Styela clava: one gene and its partners. The protein of the gene in region 2 purifies or fractionates together with the protein of the main gene of each other region. This does not show direct contact. Links are inferred from orthologs where the notes say so. Each region holds a gene or a part of one and is shown on either strand. Other genes may lie near its edges.

Region 1 (7,513 bases), on a different chromosome or scaffold from region 2:
AATTCCACGTAACTGAATGACATTAAACAAATGCAGGTATGCTTTCATTGCTCGTAAGTAGTCTTGAAATTGTTACCAAGTTAAATCATATCATTTTTTGTGAAAAATAAAAGCCTACAAACCTAAATGTTTGAGAGATTTTATGAAAAATGTGTTCAGTTACTATTCAAACAAGGAGAAAAGCATATCTAACGAAACCAAATCACTCGAAAAAAAAATTTCTTTGACGTAAGAGTGCTCAGTTGTTTCTGCATCGATGTCTTCGTAAGTTGTTTTAATGTTAACTGTGTAACATTTTCCCAAATTGATTGGAAATGTGTGTGTTTGTGTATTCTCCAAGAATGGCATAGAAAACATCATATAGCCAGCTTCTCGAACATCAACATTATATTGAAGAATCTCAAAGTCTCCTGACTCATCGCAGTTGTCTGGGTTATCCCATATTACAGTGGCCTGCTCGCCAACTATTTCGTCAGTGATCATCAACATTTCTGTATTATGTGCTTTGACTGAAGAAAATGAATCATTGAAAAATATATTTGTCGTAACATTAATTCAACAATTTACTTTACAATGATACAATTCAAGTTAGAAGCATAAGTAATATTTGAACTGAATGTTTATTAAGTGCTATTATCATTCCGTATGAATATATATATTTGAGTATGCCTGCTATTGATATATACTCGGTATCGATATCTGATATTGGTAAATAATGAGTGCGAACGTTATTAGTACATAAAAATGGCTCTTTCTATTCGTACAACGTAAAAACTTTATATTTGCATGTATGTAATTTTGTAACTACTGCAGGTCTACATAAATATATATCTTTTTTTAAACAAAAATATGGCGCGAAATAATGCTGAAAATAATTATCTGTGACGTAGAAAATAATATTAATTGCTTTGAAGAATTGTACTTACTCATATTTTGACTTTTGATTTTTATGGTTTGACTGTTGTCTGAAGAAAGAAAAAAAATATTACATTCTATACTTGAATAGAATATATTAAAATGTCTAACATCACGTAGTGAAACAACACGAGCGTAGGAACCAGACACAATTAACTGCCGTTTCCAATGGAATGCCTTCTCAGAAACTAGAAATTAAAAAACAATTTGGATTTTATACGCTGACCTAATTACCGACTTATTCATACACTGGGAATATATAAACGTAAAAATGATGAAGAATTAAGGAAATAGGAATTAACATACGTTCGTAAATTAACTTAAATTATAAATGTATTATATGATTAAACAAAATTGTTACACTCAAAAACCTTCTACAATTTATTCATTTTTAAATAATTTTAGCAATTCAATATTTTTTGAATGAAGAACTGTTGTAATAATTTATAAAGTTTAAGCATTAAGTACCTTTCAACTCACGCTATTGTGTTGGGTTAACACAATTTTTAATTCATGATAGGTCTCAAGTATAATAAAAGGTATACTCACTAGCAAATTGTGCATGCTCGAAATTGAATACGGATTGTTGTCCTATATCGGCAAAGTTTGCAAATTTTCCGGGTGTATTTTTTCCTGCATGTAGGGAAAAATTTGAAAACAAAATCATTACCAAACTCTTCAGATATATCTTACAATCGGAGGAGAAAACAGCTGATCGCGCCCACAAAGCAAGCGGTGTTAGTGGTTCGCCCTAACATCCAGTCATCCACACACGTATATTTCACAGAAATAGTGGTATATATATTAATGTTTCATTTGCAAGACACAAGACAATTACGTTCTTTCATTTTTCATTTCTCTATTGCAATCTTACTACCTTTGCTATATTACCTTCAATTCACTAACTTTTTTTCTTCAATGTGAACGAATTTTTAGTTTTTTCGATGAATAAATACTGATAATCTTAAATACCGATTTGCATCAGATAGATTTTGACTTACGTGAATGGGTTGTTACGGTATTTGTTTTGCATCCGATGGTACTCTGCGGGTTGTTGTTTTCCTTATGAATGGCATGTACTAGAAATTGATATTTTGAGTCGCTTTTTAATCTCTTCATGATTACAGGAGAAAAGGGACAAGTTTGTTTTCTAGCTTTTCCTATATTTGGTATAGCCACGACTTCATAGTAATCCGGCTTCTCCTGTGGTTCATCCCAATTCACAATTGCACTACGCCGCGGGTTCATAATGTTTATCTCTGCCGTTGGATTGATCGCAACCGTCGGGCCACCTAAAAATAAAAACATACCCCAAATTAGAAATGAGCCCACCCACCCAGGGGGCAGGAGTGAGCAACCTTTTTCGGCTCGCTTGCCAAAATTTAACAACAAAATTCACCCGCGTGCCGACCAAAATTGAAAACAACGCTTTGCTACTTTCAAAGCAAAAATACACAATATTAAACCTTATAAACAAGTACAGACGGAAAACATCAGTCCGGCAAATAGATTTGATCACTTTTCTTATTCCATATGAGTGAGACTTCTGCTGCTGTATTACCGCTGATAGGGTTTATATTACATTGGGTTTATATTTTGTAACTTTCAGAGAAATACACGAACTACTGGTTTCATATTTCAGGCTATTCCTGTTACGAGAACTGATAAAGTTCATAACAGAGAACAGAGATTCACGGGCATAATATGTCAATGAAAACATGGAGAGTAATGCAGTTGCAAAGTTTTTAAGACACAGGAATGGCATCCCAATCACACAATAGTTCGTTTTCTGCACTTTTCTCTTGTATTCCCTTCCCTAATCGCTTATAGTTCTTTCGAAATCAATTTATAACAGTAAGTTAGCAAGTAACTCTAACCAACATGCGCTGTACAACTTCATAAATCAAGCAAGGGTGGCACAGACAAACTATATTACGTAAGAATGTAGAAAAATGAATCAGGTCCTGATTCGAACCTAGGTAGGTTGCCGCCAATGTAAGTATATTATATCCTCCAATATCGTATTAACGCACTAGGTTTGCCGACTTTGGACGGTGAGCGGGACCCTGATCAAAGTGTTTTTGGATTGTAGTAGCCCCGTGAGACATGTTTCATGATTTTTCTTGCCCTTTTCACTAAAAGCGTCTCCCTGATATCTTGGATAAACATTCCCGCTGAAATCCTATATCTTTGGTGTAGGTACCAACTTGGCGATAAAGTTACGCGATAAAAGTGAAAACCAAAGCAAGAATGCGGCATGCTATTTCGTGTCTGCGAAAGGAGAGTTTTTTTAATGGATATGCAATGAATTACTGCCTGAACTTACCTATCACGAAGACATTCCAGTTCGATTCTTGGAATTCTTCGCCAGGTCCATAAGTTTGTAGTTTAACTTCACATACCTGACCATATCGTAATCGCTCATTCATATTTACTTCATAACGGCAGTCACCAGCAGAAAACTTTTCGTGAATGACAAGAGGATTCCGATCTTTTGCGTTTCTTACAAGCAAAGAATATCCGGTGACTCCGTATGTTATTTTCCAGGTGAATGAAATCCTATCACCATCGCAAGCCAATTCCACCATTGTTCCTAATTAAAAAATAGACGAAAATAAAAGCAGCAAAGGCTAAAAGAAGTCACAAAAAAAACGTAACATATACTAGTCGAATTTAATTATGTTGGCTAATTACCTTCCTGATTTTGAAAATCCATCAGCACATTGTATACGAAAGCATTGCTAGCTAATATATTTATGGAAGCTTCACTCAAAAAATATGATCTGCAATCGATTGAGCAATTCTGAGTCACATCGTATATAGAAAATATATTCTGGCCATGTACATTTATACGTCTACAATAAAAGTGTTGGTGTGTACGGGTGTAAACAGACAAATCATTAATAGCTTCCGTATTTTGTTTTATTCTAATCTCTCGCTAGATATGAGATTTGGTCAGTTTTACAACGTCACAAACGGTTTTCAATGTATAAAAAATACTTTTCAAAGCTAGATCTAAAAATCCTTTGCTTTGATATATAACAAATCTGAACTAAAGTTCATGTCAATTAGGCGACTAACTGAACAAAGCTCGCCAATCCACCACAGGAACGCATTTCATAACTGTACAAGAGACTGGAACAAATGTGTCGTTTTGTCGATGTCTTTACGGTTCGTTCCATTCAGTTGGCGGTGTAATGTGTCAGAGCGTTATTTTATCTTTGCCCTATCATGCGTAATATAATCTAGTTTTGGATTATGTGGCCTTTGTTACCCTTGAAACAATGCTGAATAAAAATCATTGACCGGTACTTTCAGGTCTTCGGTTTTAAATGATTTTGCCACTTCAATTATATGCATAGCTTTGCTCACGGCATTTTGAAAATTTCTCCTCGACGATCTTGGAACTATTTATTTGTAAGTATGTTGTTTTTTGTGTAAGTATCGCGATGTATTTTCAATCAGAGAGAGAAGGCTCTGGCACTGGTCGTCATATTTTGTTACCATGTGCCAGCTTAAAGGTCAACTTTATGAGCTCCTGGGGTTTACAAACAGGGATGGTCAACTTTGTGATCCACAAAACCTTATAGCATATTACTCTTAAATCATCGTAATGAACGGAGCGAAGACATATATCACCTTGGACTTCCCCACGGTAAAATGATTGTACTCGACCAAATCAGCACATCATCGCCAATCTCGTATATATGCCAAGATCAAAACATTCAAGAATAACACATCAGAGAATACAACACCAACAATACAAAAGTGATGACAACGCATCAAAAGTCAGACATTAATTTTACAGCTGATCTCAAGTATCGATTAGCGAGAAAAACATCAATTTTCTCACCTTAGGAGCTTTCGCGCTTTTGTCTCACTAGTATAAAACTCACAGGTTGGGGAGAAGTGTCATCCAGTTAGCAAAGAAAACATTCTAGAGGAAAGCAACAAATACTATTCCTAATACTAAACTATGGTAAGTACTATACAAGTCCATGGGTTACTCGTATCTGACGATGGCTAAGGCGGTCTGATGGACTTACTTTCGTTGACGCAATTTGACAGAGTTGGGCTATTGGTCATATGTTCGTTCATACACGAAGCATGATTCTAAATGATAATTTTTGATTGAGAAACTGTCAGAAACATAGGCTCGGGCGTTTAGAAACAAGAAAAATTGTACAGAATTATTCGTGCAGAAAAATGAATTGAGTGTTCATAATAAGCATTGCATAACCTCGGAACTTAGACGCATGTGTGTACCTGCAACATAGAATACTATTAACTTTAACATTTTATGATTTTAGGCTGCTGTTGAATTCTCCGAAAAAAAGATTGAAAGTAGGTATCATCTAATACTGAACCAAGTTTTGATTTTTTAAGTATATTCATTTCTAAGTGTGAGAATTTAATGAAGTCATGAGCTCTTTAATAAAATATGAGGAAGCGTATAATGTATTTGGCTAGATATTTCAATAACTCTATTTACTTATTATACGCATTTGATTGAAAACACAACATAAAATCAGAGAATGATTTTTATTTACAGACATCAAAGAAGCTTTCGAGCTTTTTGATACAACTGGCGATGGAAAAATATCATATCATCAGGTCGGTGATGTTACCAGAGCTATGGGGGAAGATCCAACTAACGAAGACGTTACGAAATTTATGGGAAATCCGTCTGCCGATGGTATATTTACCAAAGAACATTATTTACTTCTTATTATTATGTTTATATTTGTTGCTTTTAATAATACAGGTTTTATTTGCGTGGTGAAGTAAGCATACACGTCCGAAATACCGTCAAATGATTTATTTTTCATTATAATTTTATTTTTTTTATTTCAGACCTGAAAACAAAACGAATAACAGTTGAGGAATTTCTTCCAATTTTTCAAAAAATTATCCAAGAGGGACAAAAAGGAACATTCGAAGATTTTGTGGAGGGATTGAGAGTATTCGATAAAGACGGCAAGGGAACAGTAATGGGCGCTGAAATTCGACATGTTTTGACAACTTTGGGTAAAGCCGTACACAACTGAGAAATCAGCACCTTTATAAAATAATTCTAGCTAATTAAGTAAACAATTTGTATGTGTAAGGCCTTTATACTACTAGCACGGCATGGTCAACAACAGACATGATTGGCTAACTACAGTCTCTTCTCATATCTTACTCTCTATTTACATATATTTGTATAATATCAGTTTATTTCGTCGTTATTTAAGGTTTTGCGAGATAATAGCTTAAATTTACATTTTTTTAAATTTACTAGGAGAGAAACTGACATCGGCTCAGGTCAGTTTGATGATGAAAGGACAGGAAGACAATACTGGAGAAATGAATTACGAAGGTAAATATCTTTGACAACTTTCAAAATATTTTGTTCTTCAGTAATCTAATTAAATTAGGCGATCTTTACAACTTTCCAAAAAAAAATTATTTTAATCTTTATATTTCAGCTTTCAGCAAATTTTTACTTTCGGAAGGAGAACCTGAAAAGAAATGAAGCTAAAAAATCCAGGCTATTGATATGTTCACAACTCGACTTTCCTTCAATATCCTTACATGCAAATTGATTGCTTCATAATTTTCTGTAATAAATAGAATATATATATATTATGTGTATATGTGTTCTAATCTAAACAATATGCCAGAAAATGAGTTCACTACGTTGGTCAGCAACCATGTTGCTTCTTATCAGAACTGTCCCATTAGCAGAACCTGATTGGAGAATACTTTTTAACAAAGGGCAGGGGGTATAAATTGACTGCCGTCATTTCGATTGGGAAAATGAGTACACACTAACAACAGATTTTTACTCATAGTGCAATAGCATCCTCTTGTCATTTCAATCCTCAGCGGCTCGAGTGGCAACGGAACTCCCGACCTACTTTCTGACTTGACGTAATGTCATGTGCTCAATGTATAAACCAATGGTCTGTAACCTTCTTACACCACTGACTGATACCATTAAAGACTCACAGGCCTGATCTAAATATTGCAATGAATGCAGATAAACATGCTGTTTTGGTAAAAAAAAATTTTTTTTTGTAGCGAAACTAGCGATTGCCTAAGTATATACGATTAGCGCAAAAGTGACAGAAGCCTACAGATAAATTGAGAATGTGCCATGGGAAGTCTCGGCTCTGTCGTTGGAAGCACAATATATATTGGACAAACAGCCCGGGCAGATATTATATAATCACTCGAATTGTAGGTCAAGTTTAGCCGGTTTATTACAAATACATGCTTTTCATACAAAGCTCAGCTGGTCTGATTATATTTATTGTAACTTACCTGAACCCCAGCCATTGGCCCATGTGTGAGTTACTGGCATCGCATGGCATCTCTGGTATTATATCATTATTATCATTTTTGTTAACTTTAATGCGAATAAGTTAAATTTAACGTCTAACTTTTGCTCCTGACAGCATGATCGTTGACACTGATGGTGTCGGCGCAAGTGATAGCACTATTAACATAAAAATGTGACTATATTTTTGGCGTAATACTGTGTTTCTTGAATCTAAGGCTTACCCTGAAAATAAGATCTAGCATGAATTTTCATCCTCGGTCTAATATAAGAACG
Region 2 (7,560 bases):
TAAAATTCAGGACGTACCTGTTTCATTATTTCGAACTATCGTTCGCGGAGTTTTACTAGTGTATAGAAAGTAGATATCATAGAAATCACGAGGGTCGAGAGCGGTGGTTCTCAAACGGTGGGACGTAGACAATTTTTTGAAAGGCGTGGGGCTAAATAAAAATAATTGTGAGATTTGATCTTGCCCGCCTATTTGTTTTTTAAACTTTTCATTTATTTATTATTCACGTTCCATCCCCATATTTTCAACGTGTTTTTGCATAAAACATACTTTCGCCTTATTATCTGTTACTTGTAGATTATTGTTAGCTAGTTATTTTTAAAGTGGGGCGCGAGACTTGACAAATTCTAAATTGGGGGCGCGGCCTAAAAAGTTTGAGAACCACTGGTTTAGAGGAAAAAACGCAAACCGACAGCGTATAGTAGTATTTTGCTGGTGGAATATGTCATTGTCATTAATCTATTGTTGTTCCATGACAAGCTACATGTTGCGACAAGTAGGAGAATATCGCCAAATAAAACATCACTTAGGAAGATTGTCAATTTGCACTGTCGTTCTGAATAAGTAAAGGAAACTGGTTAAATTTGTATTTGCCGACGATACAACACAACCAGTCAAAGAATGTTTGCTTAGTTCTTTAATTTCTCATGGAAAGTATTTATTTTATAGACATGTTGGAGCGTCCCGTTTTCCTTACTGTGTGTTTAGCCAACAATGCGACCGGTTTCGTTCAACTTTTAAGGGTTGCACTGGGAAGCCGAACTCGTATCCAGAAAATACATACATTTTGTACATGTGAGAGGAATGTGAAGAGCGTATGATCATTTATTACTAAGGGAAAACTCCAATTTCTTTAGCGTCTGCTTTATGTTATGGAAAATGAAAGAGTTAGTATAACATGGCCTGTATATATAAGGATGGAGGAAAGACCTAGCATTTAGCCGAATTGTCTTCCTATGTTGTCGAATACACGCTAGCGCTTAGATTTACTGATTTATGCTCAGCAAAGTGAAACTCTTTGCGTCATATTATAAAACCAACACCATTTATAAAAGGAACGTTTAAATTATATTTTAGCCAAATGATAGACTTGTGCAAATTTTCGATTAATGTTTACTTTGAAATTATCGGGATGAGATTGACTTATGGCAGGCATGACTTTTCTGCAAAGTAGAGTACAGCCAGTTGTATCGCTATACCGCTTGCGACCTCAAGAATGGTCGACCTGTCGGAATATGTCGAAGACATTTGATGGATATTTTGGCAATAGCTATTTGAAATTGGAACTGCAACTTCGAGTCAAACATTTATCAAAGCTGAGGGTTCGCCCAGTAAACGGTGCTTTCATATACAACACGGTAAACTGCTTCTGAGATGCTAATCGCCTTTCATACTCATTCGTCGATGAAGATTTCTTGTTGACGAAGCTTGTTTCTTCAAACGTAATATGTATAACATAAGAAACCCAGTTTTAAAGGTTCATTGAATTCTTATCAGAGTATATCCATCAACTGTCGATCATGCTAGATTTTGAATGAACCGCGTCTAATTTGATGAATATTTCGAATTGCCCGAACAGTATGTAGTTGTAATCGTTTTCGTTTGAGAAATCCGAGCGGAACATTGGTCAACCACGCTTGTGGAGTGTATCTTATCCGCAGGAGAGTATGCCTCTCTTATTGGTACATCATGGACATGGATCGCATATCGTTATTTACGTATTTGTGTAAGAACATGTATCAAAGGTCATTTAAGGTCTTTCCTCTTTACTTCTCGTCTTGTGTAGTCGTTTTATCAAAATGAAATCCCAAGAGCCGCCCACTTTAAAGAATTTCATGTTCTTTCGCCAAGTCCCTCGTGGAAATGTCAATTTATAACGAATGGTATTAAATAGAATACGGGATTAGAACGCGACTTGTACTTGGTGTGTATGATATATGAAGACGATAAATTTGTTGAAATTGAAAGTTCAATTATTGAACCGTTTTAGATAGACTGATCGTGACCGCAGCGCATGTGAAAAATGATTACTTCATTTAGTCGTCGATGGCCAATTTTCTGATCTGAATGGAAATCAAGTCTGTGCGACAAAATTAGTAGCATTTATAGAATAGCACAGTGTCAACTTAATATGAGAAAGCTTTTGCAAGTATAGTCAGTAAGTGTACTTACCGGTAACTGCGAATCTTAGTATAATATTGTTTCGAATTAATTCTCGTGCTTTATCAGTACTGACTAAAATTTATGGACGCTTGTACGTGACTTAATTAGATGTAGATACGAAATGAAATCATATGAGTCAACCAAGTTTCAGTTTTAGGAACGAGAATAATATGTCAAGAAGAACTTTTACTGACACGTCTGTGGCGTTAAATTTGTTGGATTTATAGACAGTCACGTAGTATGGAGTAATACAACTGGACTTAGAATATTCTTGGGTTGCTAGCTTCGAAATCAGTAACATCAGGCAACGGAATATCGTATCGCACATAACATTTTCATTTCAGAAAAAAGAACAATAAAAACGCTGACATTTCCAAATTGCAATTTTCATTGTTTGATTTTCTGACCTTATGAAAAGTGACAGAAATGGAATAGTGATGTCATACAGCCATAACGAAGACAATAAAATTCAGCGACATATAACTGGACATTTTGTTTTCTATTACAAAGCCGAGCGCAATTATTCCTATATTCAACAGGTATTATTATTTCACCAGCAGGTGTCAATGCAATTAGCGTTCGTTCAAAATTTTGTCCGAAGTCCAAAATTTAACAATTTTCAAGCATGGTTGCAATACTTATTTCTGTGAAGTCTTTGTTACAACTTACAGCCCTACACATTCGAGTGTGCCATCATCGCCCATCATTATTACATTTCAATTGGTTTTTGTTCATGTATTATTGACTGTAAATAAATCTGCTGTGTTGCTAATTTTATTTCCACAATAGATATAATGCTGCATTTAGGAAATTCGAATTGCGCTTGTTATTTTGGTAATGAAAAGTTTATTTCCGAATCTTCGGACTTGCGTCCCAGCTCAGGCTCTTATTGTAAAATATATTTCTGCTGTTATCACGTGAAGGTCTACCACACTATAGCGCGAGGTCTACCTTAAGCTGGTACTATAGCGTGAGGGGACTGTTAGGCTTAGGGTGTAACTCTTTCTGCAAAATTTTGTATTGCGCTCAATCGATGTTAATGAGGTCGAGATGGATGGAATGCGAGAGACTGCACCTGAATAGTCCGCGTATACCTCACGCCATAGTCTCGCATATCTGTTTTATAAGGAAAGTCCTTGGTTCTTATTTATAACCTGAATGTTATAGTTATAGGTTGATAAAATTTCTCCTCGATCGCAGTCGGTTTCTTTCATATCGTAGAGACGTAGAACATACGGCCGAATGTATCAGAGATAGATTCATACGTTAGAAGTAGGAAGAATGAAACAACGAGCCGGTCAAGCACTTGTTTGTGTTTGCTCTCTCTAATTATTTAGAGACCAAACAACAAATAGATCCGGTCTGTTTATTTTCCCCGCGGAAATAAACTTGTGAATTGAAGTCGGTCGGGTTCTCAGTAAAAGCGGATTTCCCAGCAAGACGTGCTTTGTATTTTGCATTTTCTCTTTGTTTGCACAAGACTAATTGGCAGATTATCAGCGTCTGTATTCCGACGCCATAAACGAGACACCAACTGAGAGTGGTAAGGAAGGATATTGTGGAGTAGAAAGGAATTTTACTGAAACATTTTTGTTTATGGAATAGAAATAATAAGGACGAATAACATTTATTTAGCTTACTTAATTTAGATAAGATGCATTAGCAAATTTTGGGGTAAAAAAAATCATAGTTTGTTTGCAGCTCTTTCTAGAGTAGTATATTGCAGGCACAGGGTAATTGGCGGTGTTATATTTTATATAGATTGAGTTTGACATAGAATTGGCAGAATGGTGGTATTTTTATCCTTGTTTCTTCTGACCTGTCACAATTTAGTCAAAGTAATCAATTCAAATGTGATACAAACATAACCAAGTTGATCAATCGATTAGTTTATACTATTTTTACCCTTCCAATAGTTCAATATGTTCTGAAGAATTAAACAATAATAAAGTTTAAAGTATTTTTCTTGTTTGTGATAAATAATTCAAGTTTGGCTTCACTCTCTTGAATTTCAACTTGTTTCATATATGTATTCAAATATATTTTACTTTGTTCGTTTTATTGTAAAAACAGTTCAAAATGAACCTGTTCCAAAGGTTGTAAAATTTAAATTGTAGTAAAGTAGATATTAACAAAGAACATAACAGACATAAAGTCTGCAAGCTTATTTTTGGGAGAACAAAAGATTTTTAAAAAATGACCTCAGAACATCCTGTACAAAATGGAATTAATGGTCATCACACACCTGCGCCACACCCCCATGCCCAACAAAGTTATCATCCTGGACCACGTAGTCGAAGCAGTAGTACAGCCAGTGATAAATCACAACAATTAACAAGGAAATTATCTTTCTCACTACGCGCTTCTGATTTTGGTAGGTATATACAAATGAACTCAGGAAGGACATTGTTATTAAAAGCTGTTAGTTTTTTCACACAAATCATTTCAACAATTTTTGTTTATACCATTAGTTTTTGTATTCTGTTAGTCAATGTTTATCATTATTCATTACATGAGTATGCTAATGTGAGGCACTTTATTATTAAGGTTTAAATTAATTTTTGTCACTTCCATGTGCGGAATAAGAATTTTCATTTTAGCTATCCTACTCATGATGACACTTCATGATATAACCAAAATTTGAAACTAGCCTATTGTTTGTTCACTATAACACCAATGAAGACCATGGAGCATGTTAAATTCAATGTTAGATGATTTTTCTGTGCTTTTTTTATTTAAAAGACAATGTCAATATGAGTTATAGCTTGATTATGTGTATGTTTCTGGTGAATTTATGGATTTTAGGATTTACATATTATCCCGGATGAGAGGAAAGATAATCCACCACAGGATTTGAACCTGTCAACCTACACAGAGTGATATGACTTGCGTTGGCAAGCATATTTCTAACACTTAGCGCGATGCGCCACACTGCCGAGCCTTAATATTTTAGAACTGTTGTTATTAATATTGTTTCTAATTCACGATTATTTAATATAACGGGTCGAGGTTATGACTGTGAGAATGTATTGTTAGTACATGAAAACAAAGAAACAATTTCAATAATTTCAAATTTTCACAGGCATCACCAAAGATGAACGTCTCACGGCTGAAGAAATGGACAGCCTGCGTAACCAGGCTACAGCATATGAATATTTGTGCCATTTGGAAGAAGCAAAAAGGTAATAAGACCTTGTATATTTGAAGTATCAAATACAGCTTCCAAAATATGTTTTCAAATTCCATATATTTGTACTCGTATATACTAATCCTAATCTATGCATATTTTGTATTAAAAGTATGGCTAATTGGCAATTTGCTCTGTATGATTTAGTCTTACTGATTAATAGTTGCTGTCATTTCAATATTCCAATTTTACCATTTTTCTTTTGTTTTCCAGATGGATAGAAGCTTGTATAAATGAGGAATTACCGCCTAGTGTCCAGTTGGAAGAAGGTCTCCAAAATGGTGTATTCCTTGCAAAACTTGCACATTTTTTCAATCCTAAAGTGGTTCCGATCCGAAAAGTGTACGACAAAGATCAGAAAAAATATGAGCAGAAAGGTCTCCATTTCAAACACACTGACAACATTAATCATTTCTTTAAAGCAATGGAAGAGACTGGATTACCAACGGTACGCTTTATTATGTCATTGAGTTGGTTAGTTAGGATAGGATTAATATATTTATCCCAGTGAATAGAAAAGCCGATATGAGGGCTTAGTCGTATGGCAAACCACAGCGTCTTGTCCTGTAACCAGTCCATGTCGGTTTTAAAATTAGTTAGTTTGAACATGATCAATGAATGCATAGTGTATATGTAAATCTGATATTCAGATTAAATGTAGGTGTGCAAAAAAAAGGTAGTGTTTTGATTATTGTATTTATTGATAATATTTAATGCTTGGGAAATTCAGATTGTGAGCTGAGTCTAATTCTTATTAATCTTAATTCAACAAATGTTATTTCAAAGTATTCAAACCATGCCACTATATAACTAACTTTTGTGCAATACACTGTCAGGTATCATCAAAGTTGTATAATGATATTCCACTTTAGTAAGAACTGTTTCAAACCTCCACAATAAAAGATTTGTCCCTTCCATACTCTGGAGATCTTTACTTTTAAACGCCCTTGTTTGAACCAACAGCATGTAACAGCGTAAATTCCAGGTTTTCAATACAATAAAACGATTGTGTAACCACACCATTGTGTGGTAAATTGGCCTTTTACCCAAAATGCGTTGGGCCTTTTTAATGTCATCTAGGTTGCTAATATTGTTATATCAATTCGCTTGTGGCGAAAATTGCTAGGCCCACTGACGCTAATAATTCTAATATTAGATTTGTCTGACGATGGCGACATTTTTATTATACGCTTTGTCATATTATATTTTTATTCTTCACTGTGTTGCCATCAGATAACTAACATTATAAGCCTACTTCCTTTTTTGGTCAAATAATATAAGTTTATAGTATGAATGATGTAATCGGCGCTTTATTGGCTCCATGCAAGGGCGTTTTTCTTTAGCATCGATCATGCTTCCAGTCATTTCCTGTTTCAGCCATTGAACCACAAATCTTTGTCATTCTGTTCTGTTTGCCAATGGTTTAGCCTGTGGCCTTTCTACACTTTGATTTATATTGATTTCATATTAATAAATGATAAATAAAAAATTGATCATGATATGTGTCAAGCTAAAACGTTTCTTAATAAGACATTTGAAGTTCATGAATATCTTTGTAGATTGATATTCAGAATTTGGCCCATCAGTTCAAATACTCATTTATAATAAAGAAGATTGAATTCTGATAGAATTCTGCTGTTAGACACATGTATAAAAACTGATTGCAAAATTGTATTTTTGTAGATTTGCTTTTTTGAATACATTTGATTGATGCTCAATGATGCAATATATTCCGAATAGCCTAATTGAAATCTACGTTCCGATAGTTTTGATTGGTTTTCTTTTTTGTCAGTGTCAAAAGTTACACAAAGTTTATTTTTGTTGTGACCATTAGATGTTGAATGCTTATGAATGTCAAGTGCATGGATTATTCAATTTTTTTAAAAATAAGTAATTTGCTAGTTAAAATATAGCTAATTGATAACTTGGGTTTTCTTTTTCAGATTTTCTACCCTGAAACAACGGATATCTACGACCGTAAGAACATGCCGAAAACTATTTACTGTGTTCATGCTCTGAGTTTATTTCTTTTCCGCCTTGGAATCGCTCCCCAGATTCAGGACTTGTATGGAAAAGTGGAATTCACAGGTTTGTGATCTTTTTATTTCACAACCTTTTTCAGACTTAGATGGCTATCTAAAACTGAAAAATATCATTGATTAAAGTTTGTAACATATACAGTAGTCTGGGATATGTAGTATCATACCAGA
Region 3 (8,646 bases), on a different chromosome or scaffold from region 2:
ATATATAGGACAACATATATAGGTTTGGCTCGAAAGAGTGGTCGCACGCTGAGAAAAATAAAATAAATCTCGACCAAATCATTGGGTATTTGAAAGCAGTTTCGTGGTTGTTAAGATATCACTGACTTCAGCACTTAGGGACTACGCGCACTACGCGCGTATGTCGAAAGATAAGAGGTTAGGATAGTGCTGAATCATTTCCCATTGCTATATTTAACCGTTGAAAGGAAACCTTCTTTTGTTGGAAACGGTTTTGTATGTACCAGGCCGCCTTAACATACCTATTGTTTTTTATTTTACTTATTAAATAACAGATTTTGTTCGACTTTATATTATTTATCACGTTTTGTAAGATTTTCCCCAAGGGCGCCGCCGCTCGATAACTAGTTTTGGTTTTCGGCGTCTCCTTTCACCCTGTTATGCGATTTTTATTATATTTTCTTTAATTTGAGCATGTATAGTTTGTATTTTCAGCATGATGAAAAAATAAATTACTAATTACTGACTGATTACTCGCCAGTTGAAACGGGTACTATGACGTCACGATTCTGGTACCATGACGTTTTACTACAACCTCAAACTTTTCAACGTTTTTTTTAATTCAAGTCATTACCAAATATACTTACTTATAGCCACAAGTGTATAGTTGGTATTTTCAGCGTGGTGAAGAAATAAATTACTGATTAACAGAACGTTCCACACAGCAACTAAAATCATCAAAAATGTCGTTGGACAAACCTCGGATGTATCTACCGATGTAGTACGTAAATTAGTGGATTGTGTCGGATATTGGCGGGTTTACAGACTTATGGTTCTAGGAAAATTAGCAGCAAGAAATTTCGTCGTAGGAAATCTCGCCGCAGAACATTTGGCCGCAAGAAAATTCGGCGCATGGGGAAATTCGCGGCATGCAAAATCGTCGCAAATACATTTTTCTGTAAAACAAGTATTTGTGATAAAAACAGTTATGTTTTTGACCTTTTCATTTAAAAAGATTAGTTATTTAAGAGCATACCCTAAACCTATAAACCCAACGGTTTTTATTATTACAAATACTTGCTTTACAGCAAAATGCTCTTGCAGCGATTTCTCATGCGGCGAAATTTTCCGCCGCAGCATTTCCTACGGAGAATTGTACGAACACGCAGACTCACCCCGCGGAATTTTATGTTTGGATAAGATTTTCATATTTATTCTGGGAAAAGGGAGGTCGAGTAGACAGCCTAATCACACGGCTAACCACGATCTTTAGTCCGGTTACCAGTTCATGTCGGGTATGGCAGCAATTCCCAAAATCTTTGCTCATTCGGCCCCGAATTATCAGGGGAAAAAACCCACGCCGTACTTAAATGAAAAATTGCTGACTTTTAAAAACTCAATTTTGTAATCGTTAAAGACTTAAAGTGTACTTTATGCTTTTTAAAGTTTGTAAATATACAGGCCTAAGTAATAAACGCTCGGGATCAACTCGGATCTTTCGTACAAAGCTAATCCCCGCAAAAGCTCAAAATAAAAAATTAGGTATTATTCAGATAGGGTCAGGAATGCAGATTGCGCCGGAAATTCAAATTTTTAACACAATACTAACGCTAACTGGATAATTACCAATTTTTGTTTAAAAATGTGGCGGGGTGTTATTCTCAAATCTCACATTTTTGCACTAGAGACGGGGCCTTTGTACAAAAGATCTGTCAACTCTTCTTCATCATCACAGCGCGATTTTCCTTTGAAATACTAAAACAATCACTCATGTTCGCCAACCTCGGTTCAGAAGATACCTAAACTGCAGCCTACAAAATTGTAGCGAGAAGTGTCTACCTCTATTCTTACGTAAAGCAATAGACGGGTAACATAAATTTATAAGTATAACAGCCGTTGTTACGACATAAATACCTGCGCAGAGAAATTGGTACTCCCGAAGTATGTGTACCAATTTTTCTTACTCTGGGAGTACCGAGAAATTTTTGTTTCATGCATTATAAGCGGTACAACTTCGCGCGGGTCGCATTTGGGAACCTGTTTTTGAATTCCGATATCTTACTTCTTCAGCTCTTATTTCGTCGCCATCGTGATCCACGCTTGGCTATATATGTGATTCGATAGATAAACAAGTTAGTAAATTATTTTAATAGCAAAGAAATATTATTTTCGGTATGTTCTCATATCAGAATTCGAAAAAAATGGTAATTTGCTCATATTTGTTTCCAGAAATCTGGCAACGCTATTTATATTTCATGTCGTTTTTTTGCTGCCCACTCGCGGTACGGAAAAATTGTAAATGTTAAGTTTTTTGCCGCAGTTCAATATATATGAATATTCAACAACAAGATAAGCTGTTTGCTTTGATAACTGTTTAAAAAATATTTTAGCATTTTATGCAGTACCCAAAACAATGGGATACTAATTTAATCGATCGATCGCGAAACCTTTACTCAACGCTCAGAGTTTTAATAGTCTGTCGAAGTCTTTGTATAATTTGCCCAAAAATTCGTTCGTGATGAATGTATATTTATAAAATAGACAAACAAAATCGTGACATTAATATCACAGAAGTAACTATGCCGATCAGTTGAATTGTGAATTCATTTGTCTTCACAAAAACTGTTTATTCAAGTGTAGACGAATGTCGATGCCAACCGAAATGATTATCCCAATGAGTAATTACCATCTTGTCCAGATTCAATATCCATTTTCGTTGTTTATATGATAACAAAACAAACACCTATTTCGCGATATAAGTATGTAATTCAATATTAATCTCCACTAAATGATTCAAGAGTCTTGCTGCACACTAACAAGAATACCGTATGTTTTTGTAACGTTACAGCAATATATTTGTGTTATGTGCAGCAAGATCACTTCGGATAGTTATATTTACTTTTGATACAGCATCATTGCATTTTATGCATACGGATCCACCGTCGCAAAAGCATTGAAAAGCGATAAGTAGTTAGTCCCGCAGAAAGCAAATCATTAGCGCAAATCTCCGCTAATGCACAAAATCTTTTCGTGATTAGCTATCACAAATATGACGTCACAGCTTTTTTCGTCACGTTGCTGTTTGTATTCTATTTCGCCATTCTGCGTCAGCTGGCGACCGCGGTTGTTTTCTCGTTGCGCTTCTTTGTCATTGTTTGTCTTTGTTTTCCTCTGTGCCACGCGTTTGTGTTGCGGTTATAAGGAGTTGAGTCTTTAGGGGGGTATGGTTCAGTTGAGATTTATGAAAAATATCACTGTTTTGAAGGCGGGATCTGGTTAAAGGAGAACATTATGTTTGTTTTCTCTCCACACCCTGACATCGCCAGACTCACAGACTGTACGGTATCCTACAGCCAGACAGTACGGTCATGACGGTACGGTACCGTATTCTTGTATACAGGTATAAGTTTATCTCGACTTCATAATCATCATAACAAGCAATAAAATGAATGATAAAAACAAATTAATAAAACTGATAATGAAATCAGTGAGACAGTGGTATAACTGCAGAACTGTATAAGTATGAGCTCGGCAGTGGCGCGGCGGTGTGGCTCAACGGGCTAAGCGTTAGGAATACGCTCGCCACCGCACCTCTAATTACTCTGCGTGGGTTCGCAGGTTCTAATCCCATGCAGGGATGGTTATGTGCGAGAGGATTGCTGGACTCCTCGCCGTCGTTGGGTGGTTCACGTAACCGCTGGTCGGTTACGGCTTCCTCCACCACCCAGTCTGGATTTCATGGCCTTTTTGAACGAGAAATCGGGCGTGCAATCAGAAATTCCCGCGTGCAAATAAGAATTCCTGGCGTGCAATTATAGCTCACGACGTGCAAAACAACTGCACTCGCGTGCAACTGACTTTGACATCAGATACCTCTCAATACATCCGCGTAAAATTACCGGTATCGGATAAAAAATACGTTGAAACAGAGAAAAAATGGACGTTTGACCTTTGACCCCAAACATTATTTCTACAGTTTGTCGCTAATTTTGAGAGTGTTTGTGCGACTTTGGATACCGGTACTGTTCAGTACATCCGCGTAAAATTATTGGATAAAAAATACGTTGAACCAGAGCAAAATGGACATACTTTGTCATTAATTTTGGTAGTGTTTTTACGTAGAATTAATGGATAAAAAATACGTCAAATTAGAGCAAAATGGACGTTTGACCTTTGACCCCAAACATTATTTTCATACTTTGTCACTAATTTTGGGAGTGTTTGAGCAACTTTAGATACCGGTACTGTTCAGTACATTCGTGTAAAATTATTGTATGAAAAATACGCTGAATCAGAGCCGTACTTGGCCATTGGTGCGGAGGCGATCTTTTCGTCCATAACTATTCTCACGGGATTCCTATCTCCTATCATTCAACACGATATGGACCTTTCCCCGAGCATCGACTTCCTTGTTTACTTCGTGACATTGGCCAATCAGCAAGATGCAAAAAAGGACGTAACAATGAGAGGAATTTTTCGCGGGTCAAAGGTTGGGGAAAGGTCCATGGTCTTTTTGCTTCGCAATATTTCGATCAGACCAAATCTTGCAAGCTGGTATTTGTCGACAATTGTGGAGTTATAATATTTTGGCATCTTTATATTACTGGATTATTGATTTTAAAACCATTTAAACCGATTTACATTGGTGAGCAATTGCAAATTTTCGGCGTGCAAAATTGATTTCGCTCGCGTGCATTTTTGCGGAGCGCTAGCGCCCTCGGGCGTGCACCTGCCATGGAATCCAGTCTGGTCCACCACCAAGTCCATGCTTCCGAAAACAAATAATACAGTAAAACTAATCCCATACCCGACTTGGAATGGTAACCGGACGAGAGGCCGTGGTTCGCCATATGAATAAGCCGTCTTATCGGCTTTCCTCTCCCCCGGGATAAATATGTAAATCCTATCCAGTGTGGCGCATCGTGCTAAGCGTTAGGAATACGCTCGCCACTGCATCTCTGATTTCCCTTCATGGGTTTGCAGGTTCAAATCCCATTCGGAGATGATCATGTGCGAGAAGATTGCTGGACTCCTCGCTGCTGTAGGGTGGTTTGGAATTGGATTGATATTTTTTTTGATTATTGAGTGTCTTTTCTTAGAAGCAAGAAAACATTAATTTCGATCTTATTACAAATACTTAAACTGCAATACAAACAGTAATAACTATTATTCTTCAACTTTAATACACAGTTTATTTTACTATCATTGTCTGCAAACTGTTAAATCAATACAGAGCAACACCGAGGTTCACATTCAGTGTCCTCATTACCATCAGTGAAAATGTCTTTGTGACTCGACGCAAGAGATTGTGCACACACAGTGCATAAGGACATTGGACCATATCAAACTTCATATACAAGGCAGGATATCACATTATTGGAAACTGGTGCTGTAACAAGCCTATATAAGTCATAGGCTTATCTAATAAGTTATTGTAAACTATCGGATTGATTCTTGCATTTATTGGATTATCTCAATCAAAAACGCAGAAGTAAACTTGGTTATTGGGAATTACATAGATAGAATTTTTAAATAAATTCTGATTTGAAATCGTCAACCCTTCGACCATGGCAGATGTTGATCCAGATACTTTGCTGGAATGGCTTCAGATGGGATTAGGAGAGGAACGTGATATGCAACTAATTGCATTAGAACAACTATGCATGCTTCTGCTTATGTCTGATAATGTGGACAGATGCTTTGAAATGTAAGTTGGATTATTTTTACTTTCAAACATGGTTGTCCAGAGTGAAATTTGAACATATTGCTCGTATCACGTAACTGCTGGTGGTTTATGGTTTATCTTAGTTGCCCTTAGGGCCGGTTTTTAATCATAGTTTGAAACGATATTTGCCAAAGTATTTTAATAAAAAAATGCAGGAGTTTGAAAATCAAAAATATATGATTTTCTTATTTTCTCTGTTTCTTGGAAGCCCGTTATATGCCGGTAGTTTTTTCAATTTCCCATGCATTGTACATAAGTTTTAACATAAGGTGTCATATTGTATGTCACAAGATAGCAATAACGTCACCAATGTGATTACCCAACTCAGCATGTCATACTAATGTTACGTCGGTTGAGTCACAGGATGCCATATAAGTCTATTTCTGATTCTGTATATAATGGATGCGCACGACAAATATTTTTGTAGTTGCTGTGTGTCATTCACTAAACACATAGACATAAAAAAAATCTTGTCCTTGTTGTCAAAGATATATTCTTAGGCTATTCTGAGAACTAGAATGAATATTTTTTGATTTTAATGCCGAATTTCCTAATAAAAAAATAGCTCTTTTATTTAAAAAGTGATGTGTTTATGCATTGGGTTTTTTGTTCATTAGTTTCATCCATTACTAATTTTTATTGACATGCTGCACACTGCGATATGATTTCTCAGTTCTGTCGCCTTCAGCTGATTTAAAAAAAATAGAGATGGCCGAAGAATTCAATCCAAATAAAATTCCGAGTCGCAATTCTTACCACTTCATGGCAGATCCTGCCACGAACGAACCGATGGCAGCCCTTGCCATGGGATATGGCGCTATTGCTATATGGCGGTTTATTCACAAAGTCATGTACCAGATATTAGTTTATCATGCGGAATTATATCTACTTAAACCTGAAACCTAACCCCAAATCCATCAAAACTGTATAAGAAAAATGTTCTAACTTACCCAATTATGTCATCGTCAAGAAAGCCCTGCCATTATAGTCGACATGCCGTGCTTATGGCAGCAAAATTTAACCCGCCATTGGTTCTCAACTTGCTGCCATGGTAACGGCATCTCGTCATTGGTTTGTGGCAGCTAAAAAGTAAGTATCGGTAAATAATGGCCATGGTTTGAAAATCCCGCCATGGTTTTGAAGAAGCTTCAGACGCCACAGAATACTTAAAACTGCACTTGGAAATTTCTCATTAATTCAAACCACAATGTAGGGGTTTAATTTTTTTGGGTCACTCTGTACTTAATAATATCGATGTGGGACAAATGGCACATATTATACAATATCAATATTATTTAATGTCATTACTTATCGATCTTAATAAGATTGGTACGTATGTTGATGGGTATTTGTCTGTTTGTCTGTCTGTCTGTTAGATGCATGCGATATCTCACGAAAGCGAGGTTTAATCTGCCCCAAATTTTGCATGTGCATTCACCATAGCTCGTACCAAAAGCCTATTGATTTTGGATGAATTATGTCATATAACTTGCGAGTTATTAATTAATTGGTGAGTACTATAGAGTCTGAGTGAATGAATGGGGGATCCCCAACTTTTATCGATAAGTCTTCGGTCTCCGACCGATATTCTCGTTTTTTCTATTGATGCTTAATCTTATATAAGTGTTGAAATTTAGAAATTGTGGGTCAATATTTGTATTTGTCACTAAATTAGGATATATCAATTAAAGATCAAAAATAAATTTAAAATAATCATAAATTTTGTAAGTTTTATTTGGGGATTAATAAAAATCGTTACTTAGGATGATTTATAGGTTTATTTTAAACCAATTAAACCTTTTGCGCTTCCCAGAGGAGTAGTCACAGCTTACTGGTTTTCTAATGATGATCATTTTAATGTTGCGGTTCATAATAACCCAAATATGCTTCGTTTTAAGTTGACCAATATAAGTACAGGTGTTCCTTGTGTCTGACTGGCTTTCCTACAGTTTAATTAACGATATCAAGTTTTATCATCCTTAAAACAATAGTTGTCTTCGGTTGAAGCTATTGTATTGATTGTAAATTGATATCAATATATGTTTGGTATGTACTTTGGTATGTATAGGCTTTGGTTGTATTTATCTAAAAGAAATCTTCCAATAATGCCTACATAACAATATATTTGATATACACATACAAATCGATCAATGAATTTGGATAGACATTGCCGGTTGAAAATTAAAAATTTATAACCAAAGCATGTATTATGGTATGCTGAATAGAAGGTAGCTTTTATGTATATATGCTGCCTTGTCTAGAGGCATGAAAACACTTAATTGGTTTCTGCGAGACTAACTACTTATCCTGCTTCTATGCTCTTGCGCCGCCGGATTCATATGCTTTTCTTGTTATAGTTGAACTATGTATGTCTGGAGAAGTCTGACCTTGGTCAGACGAAACGTTACAGAAATATATTTGTGTTAGTGTGCAGCAAGACTCCTGAATCACTCAGGTTAAACATTTTTGTTATCTATTGCGTTAAAATGTCCATACCCTCAAAACAATTTTTCGTTTTTGTAATACACAAATTCACTGTTTATTTATTCTTCTAGGTGTCCACCACGAAGCTTTCTTCCCGCTCTTTGTAAAATATTCCTGGACGAGACAGCGCCGGACAATGTACTGGAAGTGACAGCTCGTGCTGTGACGTATTATCTTGATGTTTCTGCCGAATGTACTCGCAGAATTGTTGCAGTTGATGGAGCTGTCAAAGCAATCTGTAACAGACTTGTTCTTGTTAACCCACAGGATAGGACAAGCAAAGACCTCTCTGAACAATGTGTTAAGGTAGGGGTTAATACTTTAATTATGCTTGATCATTATCTATAGCAGGGATCCTCTAACTTATGTAGTGAGAGTCATTGCTCCAAGAGAACCGCTCTGTTGCCTTCTTGGAGGGCTAAGGCCCAATTTGAGAAACCCTAATTTATGGCTTTCGG

What was found. The genes of interacting proteins can lie anywhere in the genome.
Region 1: the proteins of ras GTPase-activating-like protein IQGAP1 (region 2) and myosin light chain 3, skeletal muscle isoform-like purify together in Homo sapiens (affinity purification with mass spectrometry; 3 studies listed by BioGRID and IntAct, with this or other methods). This does not show direct contact. The link is inferred for Styela clava from reciprocal best matches to the Homo sapiens genes IQGAP1 and MYL6B.
Region 3: the proteins of ras GTPase-activating-like protein IQGAP1 (region 2) and E3 ubiquitin-protein ligase HECTD1-like purify together in Homo sapiens (affinity purification with mass spectrometry; 3 studies listed by BioGRID, with this or other methods). This does not show direct contact. The link is inferred for Styela clava from reciprocal best matches to the Homo sapiens genes IQGAP1 and HECTD1.

Annotation. Positions count from the first base shown.
Region 1 is NC_135259.1:2,976,718-2,984,230, forward strand, and holds myosin light chain 3, skeletal muscle isoform-like, read left to right. Parts: upstream 1-4,783; 5' UTR 4,784-4,891; coding exon 4,892-4,894; intron 4,895-5,225; coding exon 5,226-5,259; intron 5,260-5,467; coding exon 5,468-5,611; intron 5,612-5,769; coding exon 5,770-5,943; intron 5,944-6,196; coding exon 6,197-6,274; intron 6,275-6,383; coding exon 6,384-6,430; 3' UTR 6,431-6,540; downstream 6,541-7,513. Other genes in the region: uncharacterized protein LOC120337727, read right to left, coding at 207-509, 927-965, 1,465-1,548, 1,917-2,207, 3,242-3,508, 3,610-3,631. UniProt on the Homo sapiens protein: Regulatory light chain of myosin. Does not bind calcium.
Region 2 is NC_135257.1:7,266,717-7,274,276, reverse strand, and holds the start of ras GTPase-activating-like protein IQGAP1, read left to right. Parts: upstream 1-4,230; 5' UTR 4,231-4,359; coding exon 4,360-4,537; intron 4,538-5,245; coding exon 5,246-5,345; intron 5,346-5,563; coding exon 5,564-5,798; intron 5,799-7,293; coding exon 7,294-7,438; intron 7,439-7,560. UniProt on the Homo sapiens protein: Plays a crucial role in regulating the dynamics and assembly of the actin cytoskeleton.
Region 3 is NC_135255.1:18,150,794-18,159,439, reverse strand, and holds the start of E3 ubiquitin-protein ligase HECTD1-like, read left to right. Parts: upstream 1-5,173; 5' UTR 5,174-5,546; coding exon 5,547-5,686; intron 5,687-8,259; coding exon 8,260-8,494; intron 8,495-8,646. UniProt on the Homo sapiens protein: E3 ubiquitin-protein ligase which accepts ubiquitin from an E2 ubiquitin-conjugating enzyme in the form of a thioester and then directly transfers the ubiquitin to targeted substrates.